Linked DNA regions of Arabidopsis thaliana. The protein of the gene in region 1 interacts with the protein of each later gene in a pairwise test. Each region holds a gene or a part of one and is shown on either strand. Other genes may lie near its edges. The genes, in order: ETT, AT5G41650 and OFP4.

What was found.
Region 2: the proteins of ETT (region 1) and AT5G41650 interact in a two-hybrid assay, tested with the Arabidopsis thaliana proteins (one large-scale study listed by BioGRID).
Region 3: the proteins of ETT (region 1) and OFP4 interact in a two-hybrid assay, tested with the Arabidopsis thaliana proteins (one large-scale study listed by BioGRID).

The regions. Positions count from the first base shown.
Region 1 is NC_003071.7:14,323,992-14,331,982, forward strand, and holds ETT (Transcriptional factor B3 family protein / auxin-responsive factor AUX/IAA-like protein), read right to left. Parts: upstream 4,988-7,991; 5' UTR 4,623-4,987; coding exon 4,299-4,622; intron 4,266-4,298; exon of another isoform or gene 3,821-4,265; coding exon 3,764-3,820; intron 3,678-3,763; coding exon 3,495-3,677; intron 3,376-3,494; coding exon 3,291-3,375; intron 3,210-3,290; coding exon 3,119-3,209; intron 3,029-3,118; coding exon 2,864-3,028; intron 2,676-2,863; coding exon 2,556-2,675; intron 2,461-2,555; coding exon 2,385-2,460; intron 2,264-2,384; coding exon 2,101-2,263; intron 2,016-2,100; coding exon 1,453-2,015; 3' UTR 1,215-1,452; downstream 1-1,214. Other genes in the region: AT2G33855 (uncharacterized protein), read right to left, coding at 726-1,160. UniProt on the Arabidopsis thaliana protein: Auxin response factors (ARFs) are transcriptional factors that bind specifically to the DNA sequence 5'-TGTCTC-3' found in the auxin-responsive promoter elements (AuxREs). Could act as transcriptional activator or repressor.
Region 2 is NC_003076.8:16,652,594-16,657,510, reverse strand, and holds AT5G41650 (Lactoylglutathione lyase / glyoxalase I family protein), read right to left. Parts: upstream 2,599-4,917; 5' UTR 2,556-2,598; coding exon 2,392-2,555; intron 2,220-2,391; coding exon 2,087-2,219; intron 1,990-2,086; coding exon 1,933-1,989; 3' UTR 1,651-1,932; downstream 1-1,650. Other genes in the region: AT5G41660 (uncharacterized protein), read right to left, coding at 1-495; AT5G41640 (hypothetical protein (DUF626)), read left to right, coding at 2,876-2,923, 3,223-3,354, 3,464-3,509, 3,807-4,174.
Region 3 is NC_003070.9:2,123,369-2,128,673, forward strand, and holds OFP4 (ovate family protein 4), read right to left. Parts: upstream 2,535-5,305; 5' UTR 2,434-2,534; coding exon 1,486-2,433; 3' UTR 1,308-1,485; downstream 1-1,307. Other genes in the region: AT1G06923 (transcription repressor OFP17-like protein), read left to right, coding at 3,434-3,632, 3,717-4,030; AT1G06925 (endonuclease/glycosyl hydrolase), read right to left, coding at 4,336-4,669, 4,783-4,848, 5,212-5,243.

The DNA.
Region 1 (7,991 bases):
ACACTCACAAACACTAGTTTCACCAAATGCATCCACACTCTTTAGTCTTTATAATCCCGCTTGGTAATCATCCTCATAGATCATTTTAGTTCTTTTACTTGATTAATTATTACCTATTATTTTTCCGTTAAAATTTGAGTGTTCTGCTAATTAGCTAACCTACAATATCATCCATTTCTCTGCCATATTTTACAAACCTTAAGATTTCACCATTGCTAATCCTATATAATCCAAAAGAAATATTAATCCATTCCTCCAATAAAATAGCACCAGTCTACAACATACTATTCTGCTCAAGATACTAGTACTACTACCACTATTCAAAGTCCTTTATTATTTTTGTTTGTAACAAATTGACAATCATCACTACTGAACATTTTCAAGTTTTAAGCAAGACAAAGAAATCAAATCCCAAAAAACTTGTTGGGTTTCATAAATGTGACCCTATGAATGATGGATGCTACTTACATCCAAACGGAAGAATAGAAGACCCTTGAAACCAAACCGGATCAAGTCAAACCAAGTCCCTTGAAACCAAACCGAACAAAATAAAAAACCATACATATTACCGGTTCGATACGGCCGGTTTTTTTATTACACTAAATCCAAACGAGAGAGTATTGAGTCTATGTCTCTTCGTCTTCTTCATTACAAAACACACAGATCTTGTTTACAACAAATTCAATAACTTACAGATAATCTGTAACAGATTCACCACCATAAATTTACTCAGGAAGAGGATCCCATAACAAGAGAGTAAACAAAAGCAAATTCGGAACTAAAAGAGGAATATATGGATTCACTTCATTCACCAATCTCTTCCTCCTCAGCCTCTTCCTCGCATACTCTCTCCTCTCCTCTTTCCCCCATTTCCCTTCCTCAACTCCGACAGCCATAACCGCCGCCGGTGGCTGATAATACGGGCTATTCGACCTCCACGATGTATCAGGCAGCCCAAATCTCGATACCCTTTTGAAGAACTGAGAAACCCACCATTGACGGAGATGCGTCGGCGAATAGACCGGAGGGTAATCCCACGATACGTAGTTTGGAATTATGGCTCCGATGAAGAATTGAGAGTAAAGTGATGGTTTCGTTGTTGGGTTTGTGAGGATATGTGTCACCGCTTGTATTCTCTGTCCCCATGTCGTCTCCTCCATTGGCTTGGATTACGTTTTCTTTGAGTGGCACAGAGAGAGATAACGATATCGGACTCCTTCCGGTTAAATTAGAATTACGAATTGAACCGGTTGGTACAAACACAAATAACCGGAATTGATGCAAACACTTTTTAAATTGAACCTAACACAGAACATTCTTGAACCAAGTTTACAAGTCTCTCATAAGTCACAACTTGTGACATTCCAAAAGTTAGCAGCAAGTCATCATCAACTAAAATAAGAACTTTACTTAAGCCACAAGCAAATAAAACACAGAAACCAAAGAACCCTTCTAGAGAGCAATGTCTAGCAACATGTCTCTCATTGCATAGATGTCCCTTCCTTGCGAATGATGATGATTGCTTTGAACAGCTGACGCACCTTTCATGGAATTCCCTTCAACGCAGGGGACAGCCGTCGCAGATGCAACTGCTGTGGTTTCGTCGGTTAATGGGAAACCAAACAGCCTGCATCTGCCTGAACCTCCGTGATGGTCTTCCAGACGTCCGTTAGGACTGTTCGAGTTGGTAAGCAAGACGGAAGAGGGTGATGATGATACAGATGGGGGGAGGATACGTGTACTAAAGTTCTGGAACGGCCCACACCAAATGTTCCTCTGGCTCAACCCGTGCTGCTGCCGATGATCGGTTATTGAGTAGGCGGGAACTGTTTCTTGACCTTGCAAGACCTTATGGAAACCATAAGAGTCACCAAATTCTGTTCCTTTGAAGCGGCCTCTCCTGGCACCGGCTCCACCATCCGAACAAGTGTTGATAAAACCCGGAAAAATTTCTTGACCTTGCAAGACCCTCTGGAATCTCAATGATTCCTCAAAGTCTGTGGCGCGAATCCCCTCTGCAATAATAGCAGAAAACGTTATATTACAGGCGATAAATGGTTATATGAGTGGTACAATGTCTTTGGCTAAGTAGATGTGTACCAGAGACAGGGATATCAGGCTTTCCTGAGGAAAAGCCAATCCTGCTTCTCTTGGGACCAGTTGTTACGAAGCTGCCTGAATTGGAGATGGAACCAGATGGTTCGATCTCCCATGGCGAGACACGCTGTTGATGCCCATTTGCCACAATGTCGTCCCACCTTACCTGAATATGACGTCAAAACATAGTTTCAGAGCAGTGAGCTTACGGATATAGAAAAGGCAACAATCTTATAGAAGACCTCTCAGACCAAACTAATGACTTAAGAACATAATTCATAGCTTACCAAAAGGCATCTCCATTTTGAACCAGGCCACCTGATTGGATCCAAGTCGCTGATACCACTTATAATCCCAGGGGATCTGACAAAACAGGTGAAACATGTTAGAAAGTTGGGCATATAAAACACAGGTGTGCAAGGTTATCTTAAAGCTTGAATTATAAGTCTATAAGTAACCTTCTCTCAGATGCATCTTCAGATTCAACCCTCGCTTTAAATCTCATCCCAATGCAAAAGGGATAGTCAACAACCTTCAAGAACTTTGGTGCAGGGATTATGAAGTTTGACCAGCTTGCCCTGAAAATGTTTTACCAGTGAACTAGTATTAATGCTAAATTCCTGATATTTATTGGAGTTAACAAACTTCTAAGGAACAATCAACTAGAACAATACACAACTTAAGGCTTCAGGAGATTCTAATTATGATTCTGAAATGAAATTTTAAATGCTGAAAACGAAAAAAGGTCATTGTGGTTGGGGCTTACTTGGGGTTGTAGGAAATGCTGAAAACGCTATGGGTCGATATGGCATGAGCTACTTCAGAGAAATTGTTGTGGTTCATATTCTGATTATATTGAGCCGAGAGAGCAGCGGTGCCTTCGATTTGAGAAGCTCTTCTAACTCCCAGTCGCAGTTTGCCATCATCTCCTCTGTATCAGAGAAACCCATATATCACAAAACCTCTTACAGAAAATCAAAGAGGTTGTGTAGTGAGAAAACATAGAAGCATTTTTAACTACCTAAGGAAAAGCACAGCATCACCAGAGACAAGCTTCTTCTTGTTCACAAACGCACTCCACCCGGTAGTGAGCAAATGCCTCCTAGGTTGCCCTAAAAGTCACTCAAACCATTCAAATTTTCCATCTACTAAATCCAGGCAAGAAAAATTGCAACATAAGGCAACAAACTTACCTCGATAAATGTGGCGAAATCGCCACTCCAGGCCATGAAGATCCCTAGCAAGAAGCTCCTGAGAAGGCCGGGGCTGGCTATAGTCCTACATAACAAAATGATTATGTAGTTAAAATCTCTCAATATGAGCTAATAAGAGAACTCTAGAACACAATGTGCAATGTACAAAGCTGATTACAGAATCTACAGAGAGTGGATTAGTACCAGAGGAGGGAAGCAATCCTCAGCAGCTCGGCGAGGAACAGAGAAACCACCATGGGTGCTTGTATCAGAAGCAGTAAGGGTTTTGCAAAACATGTGAGGAGTATTAGACCTCTTAAGCACTTCATAATCTTCCTCTCCACCATCAACATCTATAATTCCTTCACGCACCTTCCTCTCAATGTCCTGTAACAAATCAACTCAAACCCCCTAAGCTCGAGCAAATTTCTCTCTCTTTGTTACAAAACTCAAGAGCCTAAAGAAAAACTCACCTCTGACTCAGGAAGAAGAGAGACTTGAGCATAAACTTCATCTGTAGTCGTCTCTGCCTACGAAATCAAAATCCCCCACATTTTGTTTATTAATCCTCACAACAACAAAAAAAGTTTAAACCTTTACAGAGAATTGAATTGTTCTGAAATCAATTGTCATCAAAATGGAGCAAAAGGCGAAACTTTGAAATCAAATTCATTATCATCAAAGAAAAAACTGAAGATAATTTATGGGGATTTCAAGTATTCGTCATCAAAATGCCACGAGAAGAAATGCAAATGGAGCAAAAGAGGAAACTTTTCTCCCAACATAAATTCGTTTGTCTCAAACAATTCAATAAACCAAAGGCACAAATCTCCATACTTGTATCGAAAACCCAACTCAGATTCACCAAACAAACAATTAAAAAAATCAAAGAATCAGAAAAACAGAACAAAACCCATATCTCTCTGCTTTGAGAGCAGAGGAGAAAACATAAATGAAGAAAACAAAACAAAACAAAAAATAGAAAGAAAGAGAGAGTTAGTTACATACGTGAAGCTTAACATCGAGAATACGACAGAACACGTGAGGAGGGAGCCCGTAAATCGCGGCGGAGAAATCGGGGGCTTGTTCCAAATGTCCCTGAGGGAAATACAACACAAGGCTTCCTCTTTTTGGTAGAGAGATAAGGGGTCCAGCACAAGCATGCCACAGCTCCAAACAAACCCCTCCACCAGCAGAATTCGAAGACACCACAGACACAGAAGCTGAAGAAGACGAAGTAGGAGAGACAGACCCAGAAGCTGAAGACGGTGTTTGCGTTTGCGTTTCGTCTTCCTCCGTCTCCATCACGTTCAGATCGATTAAACCACCCATTAAAGAGAGAGAAACAGAGATAAAGATAAGAGCTTTATTATAAGAAAGAAAGAAAAAAAACTCAGAGGAGTTTCTTCATGACTTTTACCCTCTCAGCCAAAAGAAGAGAGAGTAGTAGCACAGTGATGAGTGAGTCTTTAAGCCGTGGAGAAAAAAAACTTTTCTATTAAAGAAAAAAAAAAAACTAGAAAAAAAGTTTAGATTTTTAATTTGGACAATGTTAAAAGAGAGAGGAGAGAGAGAGGTATCAGAGAAACAGAACAGTACTGAGTGCTCTCTGCAACAGTGAGGCTCTCTGCTACGTCTGGTGACTGATGTGTGTGGTGTGGCTTTTAGACCTTTTGTGCGTGGAGAGAGAGACATTAGATGGGATTAGATTTTTGAAATAGATTGATTTCTTTGCTTTCTCTTTATATTATTATTATCTTTTACACAACAGTTTCTTTGCAATGTTGATACTATTGGATTTTAGTACTGATATAATAATTATTGTTACAAGTATATGGTTTTTAGTTAATCATTTATATATAATAAGATCTACAAAAGAATAATTTCGTCTCTGTTGTCTCTTTGTCTTTGAATCATTTTTATTGATATTATTGTGGGAGAAATAAAAGAATACTGGTGGCATACTTTTAGGGATTGATGCACATTATTAGTGAAATAGTTTAAATCATTTATCCATTATTATATGACTAGTTCATGTGGTTTTGTGTTTTGTGGCGAAGATTTGGACTACCGTTATATTCTAAAGTACATTGGGGGATAGTTTTCTTTCATGCCTTTGATTTTCAGTAGTTTAGTATATGGTGAAAAGGGTTGTATATTTTTCTGATTAAAATTACACCTTTGTGATAAATAATCAGTGTTTATTGCTGTTATTCGAATTCGGAACTAGTTAGATGGATTTTAAAAATATTTTAGAAGATCATGCATTAGTATATATATATATATTGGTTTGTGCTAATGTTATTGATCTATCATTTTAGTAAACGATTTAATACGACCTATTCATCATCGCCTAATCACATTGTTCCCAATAGATCACATTAATCATAGTCGACCACATTGTTTCTTCCTCACTTCTTGTTGTATTTTTTTATGAAGAAGAAACACATTTGCTTACTAAATTTGTCATCATTTTTAAACCAATGGTTGGAATGACTTGATACCATCATCAAGTGAAAGTTAACACATTTTGTTGCCAATGTGTCCAAATTTGGATTTGATTTGAAATAACATTTTATTTTCCTCTAACCAAACGATTCAAAATAACAAAACCACATTAAATGACTAACGAGGACTAAATTTGAAACAAATAACTTCGTATCTTGTGACAAATTTGATTTGTGAGCTAGATCTAATTTTTTTTGATAAAAAAATAAAGTTAAGGCAAGAAGAAACAATCTTAAGAAATTTGTGCATGAACCTGTTATCAACGGCGAATAAATTGATGGATACACAAGTCATCCGAATTTCTAAAGAAACCTACCTAATGGCTATTGTAAAAACAGGAAGAATTATTGCATAAGTACAAAGTAGGGTCCATTAATGGTAGGGCATATTGAGAGAAACAAATGGTAGAGATTATATATGTTTTTGGTAAGATGAGGTTTCGAAAATTCTTATAATTATGTCTACCCAGATGAGGAACTAGCCTAATCATATCAGTATATCACACTTTGAATTAAATTAGAGCTTAATACACATGCAAACAAAAACATTGTTCTTCTTTACCTAGTACATTGTTCACTCCTTTCAGTTCTATGCAAAATTAGATCGATTTACACTTGAACTAGTGATGATGCTATATGAAAGAAATTACAATGTTTATCCTTGAGTTGTGTTAGATATTTCGCAACTCATAAGTTTATTTTTTTCCCACATACTAATAAAGTTCGGAAATGTTTTTTATTGTATATAACTATGGTTTGTGTACATTAAATCTCTTGATAATAAATTTAATCTTTTCATAAATAAGACTATTTATGTAACATATTGAATTTAAGTGCAGTGTACGTTGATTTTTCCAACGGCATCAAAGTAAACGAGAGATTTGAAATGTTTTTCTTTTCTTTTACTTTTTAGCTTCATATATCAAACATGCAAATATCTTATCTATTGTCTCTGCTAAGTGATATTCTTATACCGTTTTAAATCTAAAAATACTAATCAACTTCTTTTACTAATAATACTTACTATCAAACCACAATTTGAATATCTTCTCTTTTTCCTACAAAACATTGTTGTACATATGTATAGAGAGTTAAACACAAACCAAAGCAAACATGAAAAGTACCCAACATTTTCTTTCATTGCCGATTGTTGTGAGAATGAATCTCATCTCAACAACAAGCACAATGTAGCAAACAAGAGAACAATGAAAGTACAAGTAAATACAAGAAACATGCAAGGGTAGAAATGTAAGATAAAAAGAATCTGCAAAAAAAAGGACAAATAGAGAAAAAGTGAGAAGAAGGTCTTAAATTGGGAGTGTCATAAATTACAAAGAACCCGAGGATCAGGGGGGACTTTTTTCTTTCTTTCTTTCAAATTTTTTTTTTCTCTATAAATAAAAAAGAAATATGTTTTTGCTTATTAAATTTTGATGAACACGCGAGACAGTGTAGATGTAGATAGATACAGCTATAGAAGAGAGAGGCACAACAACAACAACAACAACAACAACAACAACAAAAGTGGTTTAGAGATTGGGGCAGGACCCGGACAAAACGGGTTACAAATCCAAATACCCAATTGGTTAATGCCCCGACATCTGTTTCCTATCTTCTTTTGGAAAGTCTCTCGAGCCTCACGCTCTTCCCATTGCGCGTATTCTTCACACTCTCTTTGCTCTTCTTTGGTCTTCTTTTTACCCGTTTCAGACACTGTTCACTTACTTCTTCTTCTTCTACTTTTTTCTCTCTCTCTCACTCTCTTTGCAGTAGAACTTAGCCCCACTTTCATTCAATGCTTCGCTTTCGTTTTTTTATTCATTCGAGGGTTCAACACAATTTTTCCTCCTCCCAATATTTATTTTTGAGATTGTGATTTATAAAACTATCAAATACTATCAAGTTGTATCAACAAGCTACTTTTCATTTTTTCATTTGAAACAAAAAAGGATTATGAATGACACACATGTGATCGGTGTTGTACTTGGAGTTGAACATGCGCGACACATAGTTTTAAAGACAAGTTTGAAACGAATAACACATTTCTATTAATGTTTATAAACAATTGAAGAAAAGTTTCTACGTTAATTTTATTGACTTTAGGGGAAAAATGATTCTATCACTTGATATAGTAAGAAAAGAAAATGATGTTTGCTATTTTTCCTTATTTTGTTGATGTATGTTTGTTATTCAT
Region 2 (4,917 bases), on another chromosome or scaffold:
CAATGAGACACGATCAAAGAAACATGGGATCTCCATCCAGAAAGTACCATCGTCGTGCGCCGTCAACGTCTCCACCGGACATGGCGCATCTAATGGTCCAAGAGAGAGATCTCCTGCCATCAACGAAGTCCAGTGTGAGGGTTCTTCTGGGAGGATCAAAATAGATCCAGATCGGGAAGTGAAAAGTTGAGCGATGAGTGAGGATTCTGTCGTTTGGCTTGCATCGCTGGAAATTGGCGGTTTTGGCAGAAATTGTGCGAACAGAGGGTGAGACGGGATAGCAAACGCTGAACCCCATCGTTGGCTTCCGTTGCTGGAGTTTGATTCGCCGTTGGAAGTCGTGAGAGATATGGTTCGCAAGGGTTTAAAATATGATTGCAAGAGGAAAAAAGGAATTGAAAACAAAAAGAGTGTAACAAGAGAATAGAGGAAACATGGCAGAGTAGCAACGTCCCGACGCCGGCGATTTTTACCTCCGCCGGCGCCAGAAAACATGGTCGGGAGAGACTTCTCGATAACTGTGTCTAGGAGGATATTGACATTAAAGCATCAATAAATAATTAAAAGCATGAAGTTAAAAGAAAACTTCACAGCCCTCCTCTCTTAGTTATTTATTCCATAAGAATAAGGATTATAAATTGAAAAGAATATAGTTAATCTCTAGAGTGTCGACGACTGTTTGAACTGGTATATTTGGATTACATGATACTACACATAAAAACTCTTTATCCCTTTCACTTGAGGAGATCATTTCTTGGTAGAACATAGACACTCTTGACCTTTTCCGTTTTTCAAAATCTCGCAATTACTTCGCTTTTCACTAGATCCTGCTTAAAACCTGATATACTATACGCCATGCATTGATCTTTTTCGACATGGTGTAAACTCGAATATGTTTTCTAACTTCTGTTTTCATATAGATTTTTGTTTACATTCAACCAAGTTTCATATAAAACGCTAGTTTTTAACCGATCAAGTGATTTTCGGATGGAACCACACCAGTATCTTCACCGTACTTTTCAAATCATTAACATCTATTTGGCCCGCAGAGATCAAACATGCATTCAGTGCGCAATTTTCAACAAATATATAACCTTTGTGAAGACTACCATTTAATACTTGTATTTTAGAGTGCTATCAAATTTAACTATCTCCAAAACTATTTTTACTGTCCCGAAAGTATTTGAGGAAATGTATAAATATACTAAGTTACACGATTTGACCACCTAGTATTTTGTCATATTTGAAAGGGGCGATTCCATTCTTGCATTGCATGTCGAAATTTCAAAGATTAATCAATGAAAGTTAATAGATTTTACTTGGAAAAGAATTTTAAATTGCAAAATATCTCTAAGTAATTAAGCACTAGATGAAAGTGCATTGGTAATGTCCAACATTTAGGATTCGGTGCATAATTTTTGTTGTATTTGTTTGTAACCAACTACAAACATAATGGTCCCCAATTTATCATAATCTTGACAAGATCTTTGAAAAATCAACCCACTTCATAAAAATCAATATAAACCATATGGAGGCATGGACTAAAGTAGTAATGCTCCAAAACTTGAGGGCAGTTTTGTAAAATGCTGACCTAACAACATTTAGTCAACCCTTCAACAACTACAAAAGCACTAAACAAAACTCCATTAAGTCCACTTCAATAGATCTTGTCAATTTCAAAGCATTGTGTAGAAATGAATCCGTCACTTTCAGGATATTATATATAATGAATGGAAAAAAATTGACTTGAGAAAAGCTTACTAGAGAAACAATGTGAAGAGCAAGTTAAACATGAACCAATATAAAGTATAATAGTGGCTTAGGTTTCTAAGAAGTATACAATAGCTTCAAAGAGATTATGGATATGATCTCTAAACAAATCTACTCTATGCATAATTGGCTTCCTTTCAGGCTTCAATTCTATTCATTTGCTCATGCAGCCTCATAAAGGCCTAACATGTAACCATCAGGGCATTTCATAGCCGCAACCTAGTAAAACAAAAAAACAACCGCAAAAATACTTCAAATCCCATTTCAGCAAGTAAGTATGAAATGAAACTTGAACATCTTCATAAGAAATTGTAACCTTTCCATGTATCTCATACTTGATAGTGCCATCTAATTCAGCTCCTAAAGCCATAAGTTTAGTCACTGTTGTATTAATGTCAGTGACTGTGAACGATAGAAGCGATGAGTATCCCTTCTCAGCAACATGATTGCTGCGGAAAAAAGAAAGTCTTTGAGAGGTCTTCTCAGCGATAAACAGTGTAACACAAAAGTCCAAATCCGGAAGTTATTTTAAGGGAATAAACTCAGAAAGTTTTCATTGAGGCAAATGATCAAACAGGTTGTGTGCTTTGAGCAATAATGGAACAAAAGAGGAGATAAAACCTAGGAGATTGCATAAGAGCTAGCTTGATAGGACCAGAATGGAGCTCAGCCCAGCGTAAAGTGACGACATTGACGGAAAAGTCGAGACCTTGAGCATAGAATCGAGCAGCTTTTGGTACGTCTCTGTGAAGCTGCAGAATCCACCTAAACGACGCCGTCGCCATCTCTCTCTAGACGAAGACGAACGAGTGTAAAATAAAACACAATACAAAAAAAAGATTGGCCATTTGACCCAAAAAACAAAAACAAAAACAAAAAAAAGATTGGCCCAATACACATTATTGGGCTTCTTTCGGGCTCACCTCTAAATGGTACCGTGTCGCACTCTCTGCAATATAAACCAGATATGAGATAGCTATTGGTTTATTTGAAAAAAAGGAAAGAGAATTTTTGGGTTGTTAAGGCCCAAATAAAACCCATAAATCAGTGGACTGGATTAGATAATAGAGTGGACAATCCTAAATTGATTGTGTGGAACAAAAGCATGAGCCGCTTGGTTCAGACGATGTTGTTATGGCTCAAAAGCGAAAAGGTAAAACACAAAGGGATGAATTTGGGGACGTAATCTAATAAAATTGACCATAATTCTTAAACTTCTAGGGTTCCTTATTTCGGAACGACACATATACACAAGCTTTATGAGGGAGAGGACGATGTCGCTGCCAATTGAAACAAAGAGGCTTTGAATAATAATTTTCGTCATAAGTCAAAATTTTACGAAATGAGTGAAGAAATACAAGGTAATCTTCTTAGCTTCTTATATAATTAAGAGATTTGTTTTTAAATCGGTTACCAGATAGAGATTAATGATAACTTAAATGAATATCTTAGGGGTTCGATACTACAGAAGCGAGTGATGGTCCTGAACTTCAAAAATCCATCTGTGATAAAAGGTGGTCACCTTGTTGTACCTTAGTCCGCCTTTATGCTAGGATGGGTCTTCATCGTTACAATTTGTTGAAGGTAATTCTAAGTCAATACTCTTCTTCTCGATCTCTTTTTTGTTTGTCAATTGTTGTATTGCACCACAATTCATTTTTTTTTGTTTGATCATCATGGGAAGAATTTACAGCTTAGTCGTGTAAAGAAATACAATATGAGTACGCATTATGCTGCTTGTAATTACTACATAACTTTGGTTGCTATGGATCCAGCTCGCAGCAAACTTTTGAATTTTCAAACTAAAGTTGATGAAGAACGTTTTGGCAAGTTTATTTTGAAATTCCCTATTGCTAGACCTCGAGGAAAAATCACTTAGGATGGAGCTTTGATAACTGAATGCTATTTCTACGTCAAAGGTGATTTGCTTAAGTGTCCCTCGGAGGATATTTTCGAAAATAGAAAGCGATTTTACGTGGTGGAGGAATCAAAGCTGCAAGTCAATGACTGGATTCTTCTATATTTGGAAGTTGCAGTTGCCACAACTCATAGGAGCAATGGTAAATATCATGATCTCTCCGACTTGAAAATTTTTGAAAGTAGTGAAGATGTGGAGCCACCTAATGAGGTATCACTCAATGTCATTAATGTGATTGTCTACATAGTGTACAAGGACTTTTATGAGTCTCGGTTGGTAAGGATGTTGATCGCAAAGCTATTGTTAAACGAAGCTTCAATGAGCATAATGGACGCTTCATTGTCGAGGGTCGAAATAAGGTTATCAAATCCGATTTGGGTCTGGTCCGACATTTACGAGTGTCCTACGCAAAAACTTAATGACATGTCCTTTTCATATATTCCAGAAACATACTTAGTAATAAAAATAAAATCTACTAAGTACTAACCTTTAAATAACGGTTTAAAAATTCTAAAACAATGGAAAAGAACTACAAAAAAATGTTGCTTTGACAATATTTTAACAGCAAGCCAAAGCAAAAAGTATGATAGCAAGTGTTTTGTGTTCGTGAATATAAAATGTTAAAATTAGATTATATGAAATTGTGTGATTATTGTTTAACACAAATCAAAGCCAACATGTTGGATGAAGATGTTTGTTTTCATAGTTTAACAAAGCTAAGTAGCTAAAGAAAAAGTCGCTAACGATCTAGCGATTTAAAATTTCAAATTTAACTAATCATTGCATTTGCAACTTTTTTTCTTCTTTTCAAATTTCCAAATAAAAAAGTAAAACAACAACAAATTGAAATTCAAAACTAATAATTAACCTCAAAATCTTTGTTTTATTCATATATGGCCACAATTTTTTAAAAACCCTAAACATATATGAAAGTTTAACATAGTTTTTTACTAGAAAAGGCCCTCAAAATTTGAGACCTTTATCACTTGCTTATGTTCCTTGGCATCTGGGCCAAGCCTGAGCCAGGTGGCGCATGGTGTTGACTAATCCAAAATAAGATAGATTCTGCTCAAATGAGATTATTTAGATAAAATTTGAAATAGCTAATTGATGAGCTTTATTGGAATGTAAAGAACAGAGAAAGGTGAAAGCTTGAGACTTTTCTTTAAGGGAAAAATAGATTTCGATTATGTTTCATTAAAGGTTGAATGTGGCTGCTCAAAGAAGCA
Region 3 (5,305 bases), on another chromosome or scaffold:
TGAGCTTAGGAGGGTTGGTGTTTTAATAGCTGATGATCTTCTTACTTTCTTTTCGGCATTAAAATCATAATTATATCTCTCGTTGTTCTTAATCTTACGTATAATTGCTCCATCAATTTTCCATTCTTTGCTTATAGGTATTGGAGTACTGGAGTAGGCATCAGACCTTTTTGTGAGTAGACGAGTACCAACAACTGCTGAACAATGACGTATTGTAAAAAAACTGGGTAACATTTTGTAGCCTTTTGTCTTTAAGACCCATAGAATAGCGTACGACGATGATTGTCTAGTGAATGGTTTTGTTAAGTAAACTAGGTTCCTTAGTCAAATGTAGACGAGCAGTTCATTTCGGTTTCATATTATTTTCTATTACGTTTTCTACTGTCTTGGTGTTTCATTTACGCAATGAGTCGATATCGATTAGGGTTTCGAAAAATTTACCTCAGAGATAAGCAGAGTTGTTTGAATCTTGACCTCAATATCGATTAGGGTTTCGAAATCCTTGTTTGAAAGAGAAGAATAAGAATCACAACGCCTCAAATATATAGCGTTGATAATGGGGCTTCGCTTTAATGGGCCTACAGTTTGTATTAAACCGGCCTTTCCCGTGCACTATATATCAAAATCGAGTTTGGTGTTTCATCATTTAATGTTTATGTTTTGTGGTTTGATCAATTCCCAAGAAATGTCTGTCCATACCGTACTAAGTACTACCAGTATAAATAGATGGTAGAGGAGATGGGCATTGGGAAGCAGCAGCAAAACAGTGGTCCTCATCTTCTTCATCACGACAACAAAGAGCCTTTAGGTTCTTAAAACTCTCTCTCTGCTTTTCCTCTTTAACCATATACTCTTCTGTGTCAGTGTTAGTTTCTCTCTCTAGCGATTTATGTTATTCAGGCTCCATTTTCATGTTTCCTGCTTCATTACTCATTAGGACTGGAACCCATTTCTACTCCGTACTTGATGGGTTTCTGACTTGTCTCCGTGTGGCTTCTTGTCACTACACTTTTGGCCTTTTCTTGACTCTTTTTTTTTTCTTTTGACATTTTCGCTCTTGTTACATAAGTCGTTACCATGACTAAACTCCATCAATCCTAATCTAATCCAAGGTTTATCACTACATGAAACTAATATAATAAAACTCTTTGGATTTGTATATTGTTTCTGAAAATATCACATAAACATTTAGCAGCACATACTGTTTCACATTTTAATTCTAAAATTGAATTATTATCATCCATGAGGCATGTATTGAATAAGTATGTTTTAGTTACTGATTTTTAAATTACTGAATAAGTATGTTCTATTACCTTCACAAACCATAACCAGAGACGAAAAGGAAGCGAGTGATTTATATGTCTTTATCACGTTATTCAGACAACACAAAAACTGGTCTTGCAAAGAAAATCTCCACGGCTACATCAAACTCTTTAAAAGAACTACAATTAACCAGAGATTTAAAGCTTTTGATCATAGTTCATTCTACTTCGATGCAAATGTAGAGTTTATGACTTCAAGCCAGACTTGAACGAAAACCTTGATAATGAGATCATGATACTCCTTGGGATTCAAGGTAAGGTAACATACTAGAAGATCCTCCATGTCGTTAGAGGTTCTGATGTTGTTCTCTGCTATCATCTCCACCATTGATTCTCTGAAATCCTTGCTCGGATCGATAGAACTCTTGATTACTGCAAAACTGTCAAGAATTTGTTTGTTCTGTGATCTTGATTTGCTTCTACGAGGCGAGACTTGAATTCTAGGAGATCTCGCTCTGAGCTTTATCCTTGGAGATTTAGCTGATGATCTTCTTCCACTAGAAACTAATGTTTTCTGATGTTTCTTCTTGGTTCGACATGCATCTTCCTCTTCATCTTCTTTCTCTTTACTGACCTTCACAGAGAGATGATGAGGTATATGTGTTTCCTTGGTTCGGTTACTTGCACGACAGGCTTTCTCCGTTGAATCAAACTTCGTGATCTCTTTGAAAGTTTTCTTCTTGAAATCTCTATTATTCATGTCGATGATAATATCATCTTCAGAAGAAATGACTTTCAAGTTGGAAGAGGCAGAGAGAGAATCATGGCTTTGATGAAATGTTTTGTTAAAACCTGCAGATACAATAGAAGAGGAAGGAGGAGAAGGCTTGTAAACAGTCTTTCTTTTGCTCTGTATGTTGTGAAGAGAGTTTCTTGGTGAAATTTGAAGGATCCTAGATTCAAAGGATGTGCGTGAGCGTGACCTATTGAAGAAGTAAGAAGTTGAAGAGTAAGGAAGAGACTTTGACTCAGAGGAAGGTTTTCTCTTCTTGGTAGTGTTTATGGAGTAAAGAGGAAGAGAATGCTTTTTTCTAGGTTTTGTCATGTTCTTGAGCTTGTGGAACCATTCACTTGGGCTCATAACTGACAATCTTAACTTATAGTTCCTCATCTCTAATTTCAAAAAATAAGTGATCTTCTCAGATAAAAGAGAGAAAAAAAATATGTATAGTTTGCAGAGTTTCTATGTGACAAATAAAAGAGAGAAGAAAGTGTAGAATTGGGATGTAAAAGGGACAAGACGGAACAAAATTGGGATCCACTTCATAGAATGTCTTTGTTTGTACCAAACTCATTCCGGCTTCTCTCCCTAACCGAATAACCAAGTTAAACCAAATCAAATCAAATTTAAATAAAATATCCTATCTAAACCGGTGTAATCGAAATAATTGAGGTGTACGTAGATGAGATTGAGAATTAAAAGGTTTTATTAGACTTGAAAATTGAGCAACAAAGTGTCCTCAAAAATTGTCTGTCGGTAGTAGGTCGATTGGTGGGTATCAATTAGACTAAATAGAATATTTCTGGTAAATTGCTTCCAAAACATAATTCGGCGAACGTGACAAAGGGTTTCAACAAAAGAGGTTAAACAAGATTTCAGGTTCATGTCCAATCTCTTAATATAGCCATAGTCATAGTATATAACAATAATGGTGTAGAAGAAACTGTAGAGAATAATAAAAGACATATTTGCATAAAACTCGGCGTGTCGTCTCCTTTTCACCAATTAGCTTGTGGTCTCCCTACCTCACACGTGTGTGTTTGACCAAAGCTTTTTTTTTTTGGGTCAACGACTCATATTTGAAGCTAGGGTTCGACAAACGAGCGGGGTCAGTCACAACCCTAACGACTACTACTGATCCCAGTAAACACCGATATATTTACCCACTCCTCCTACTCATAATGTGACAATATCTAGGTCAGATTATAGCTTAAAATTAAATTTGCAAAAAACATTCAAATTAAGGCTCAAGTTCATGGGACTCCACCATCACGACTTCGTGTCAAAGGAAAAGACGTGAAACCCACGTAACTCGAACCACCCTCCCAAACCTACACATTATACCACAACAACAACAACAAAGAATAAATCAGCTTCGGAAGGATCGAGAATGAGACTGAAGTCAAGTTTGATTAGCTTGAAATCAAAGCTTTCAAAATCATGCAACAGATTCATCTCCTTCTTCCATGCTCGTTTTCGCAATGTCAATACCACACAATCTTCATCATCTTCTTTGTTGTCTCGTCTCTGTTTTCTCAATACTAATAAGGAGCAGAGGATGAGCCAGATCAGACCCAGAAATTCCCCGTGTAACAACAATTTCTTTTGTAACTATTGTCGATTTTATAGAGTACCTTTGATCTAAATTTTATTCTACAAATATGCCACTGCAGCTAGTCTGATCGATGATTCCAAGCTTCTGCATTCAAGAAAGATGTTTCCTTTGGCTATGACGCAAAGGAACAAGAAAGCGAGGACGAGTCAAAGACATATGTTAAAGGAAGATGGTGTGAAAGAGGCTTGCAGAAGATTCGAGAACTATATGATCCATATGTTCGTTGAAGATGGGAAAATAGATGACTTGATGGACATGGAAGAGCTTCTCTATTATTGGAAGAATCTTAATAGTCCAATCTTCATTGATCTTGTGACTAGATTCTATGGAGAGCTCTGCACTGACCTGTTTCCAAGCGACCATGACGATTAAAGATCATTGAAATGGGTTTTATAATATATGCATGATAACACAGAGCATTGGATACAGAGTAGCTTTCTCTGTGTTCTGTTTTTTTTTTGTAAGTTGTACAACTTCAAGTGACAGGAACTTGATTTTACTACATTAAATCACGGAAATAAAAGATAATAAGAAAAGATTATTAAAGGATGGTACATTTCACATTTCTATTTACCAAGATTTCCGGTAAACCCCAGAATTCAAAAGATGAGAAATCTCAAGGTTTGGTTGCTTCTTCCCTCACCAATGGTAGTAGGCATTATTTCTCCGGAAAATAATCAAGGGGGAGCCTCGTCGTCTTCATAGGTATTATGTGGACGTGGAATCTTAGAATCAGGGGAGTCAATGAAAAGCGAAACCATGTATGTGGGACCTGTTTCAGAAACAACTAAGACTTGAGAAAGAGACTGACTCCACTCTCCAGTGGTTTCAAGGAAATCTCGAGGGACCTCTGATAGTACGCCAACGGCAGTGATGGTGATAGGGCCAGTGTAGTTAAACTTCCTCAAATTACGTTTTATAGACGGACCTACCCGAAGAGCATCATAGCCATCCGGAACCGGACACCCCTTTATCTCCCAATAGACCGATATTGTGGCCACAGCTGCCTCCCTCCATCATTCAAGGCCTTAAAGGTAAGAAAAGAAAAAAACAAATTCAGAATATATATATATATATAAGTTGTAGGCTATCTATGCAATTAGTCGATGAATTTGCAAAGAAACATGAAGAGATAAGGAGCAGAGAAATTTACCTGAGAGATAAGCAGAGTCGGTTCGGTTTCGAAATCCCTGATTGAAAGATAAAATTAAATATCAACCCCGCAAATATATAGGGTTGAGAATGGGCTTCGCTTTAATGGGCCTAGATTATTTTCAATCGGCCTTTCCCGTGCACCAATTCTAGTGTATTTTTTAAAGTTTTTTTTCTTGTGTGTAGTGATCGTTTATGTTAGTATTTTTTACATCATACAATGTCATTGAAAAAACTCTTTCAAAGTCTAATAGGATTGCATGTCTCGGATATATTATTTTTACTTTCTGAAAACTCTTTAAATAATTTTCATAATTATGAGAAGAAAAAAAAGATTTTTGCAAGTTTAAATTTTTTAAAAAGATTCAGATTTTTTTTTCGTATTTGGACCTTGATTTTACAGGACCGAAACTGAGTAGCAGCCTAACTTCATGTAGCAAGAAAGCTAGTATTGTGATCTTCTTACTAATTATGCTATTTCTTAAATGTAGTTTT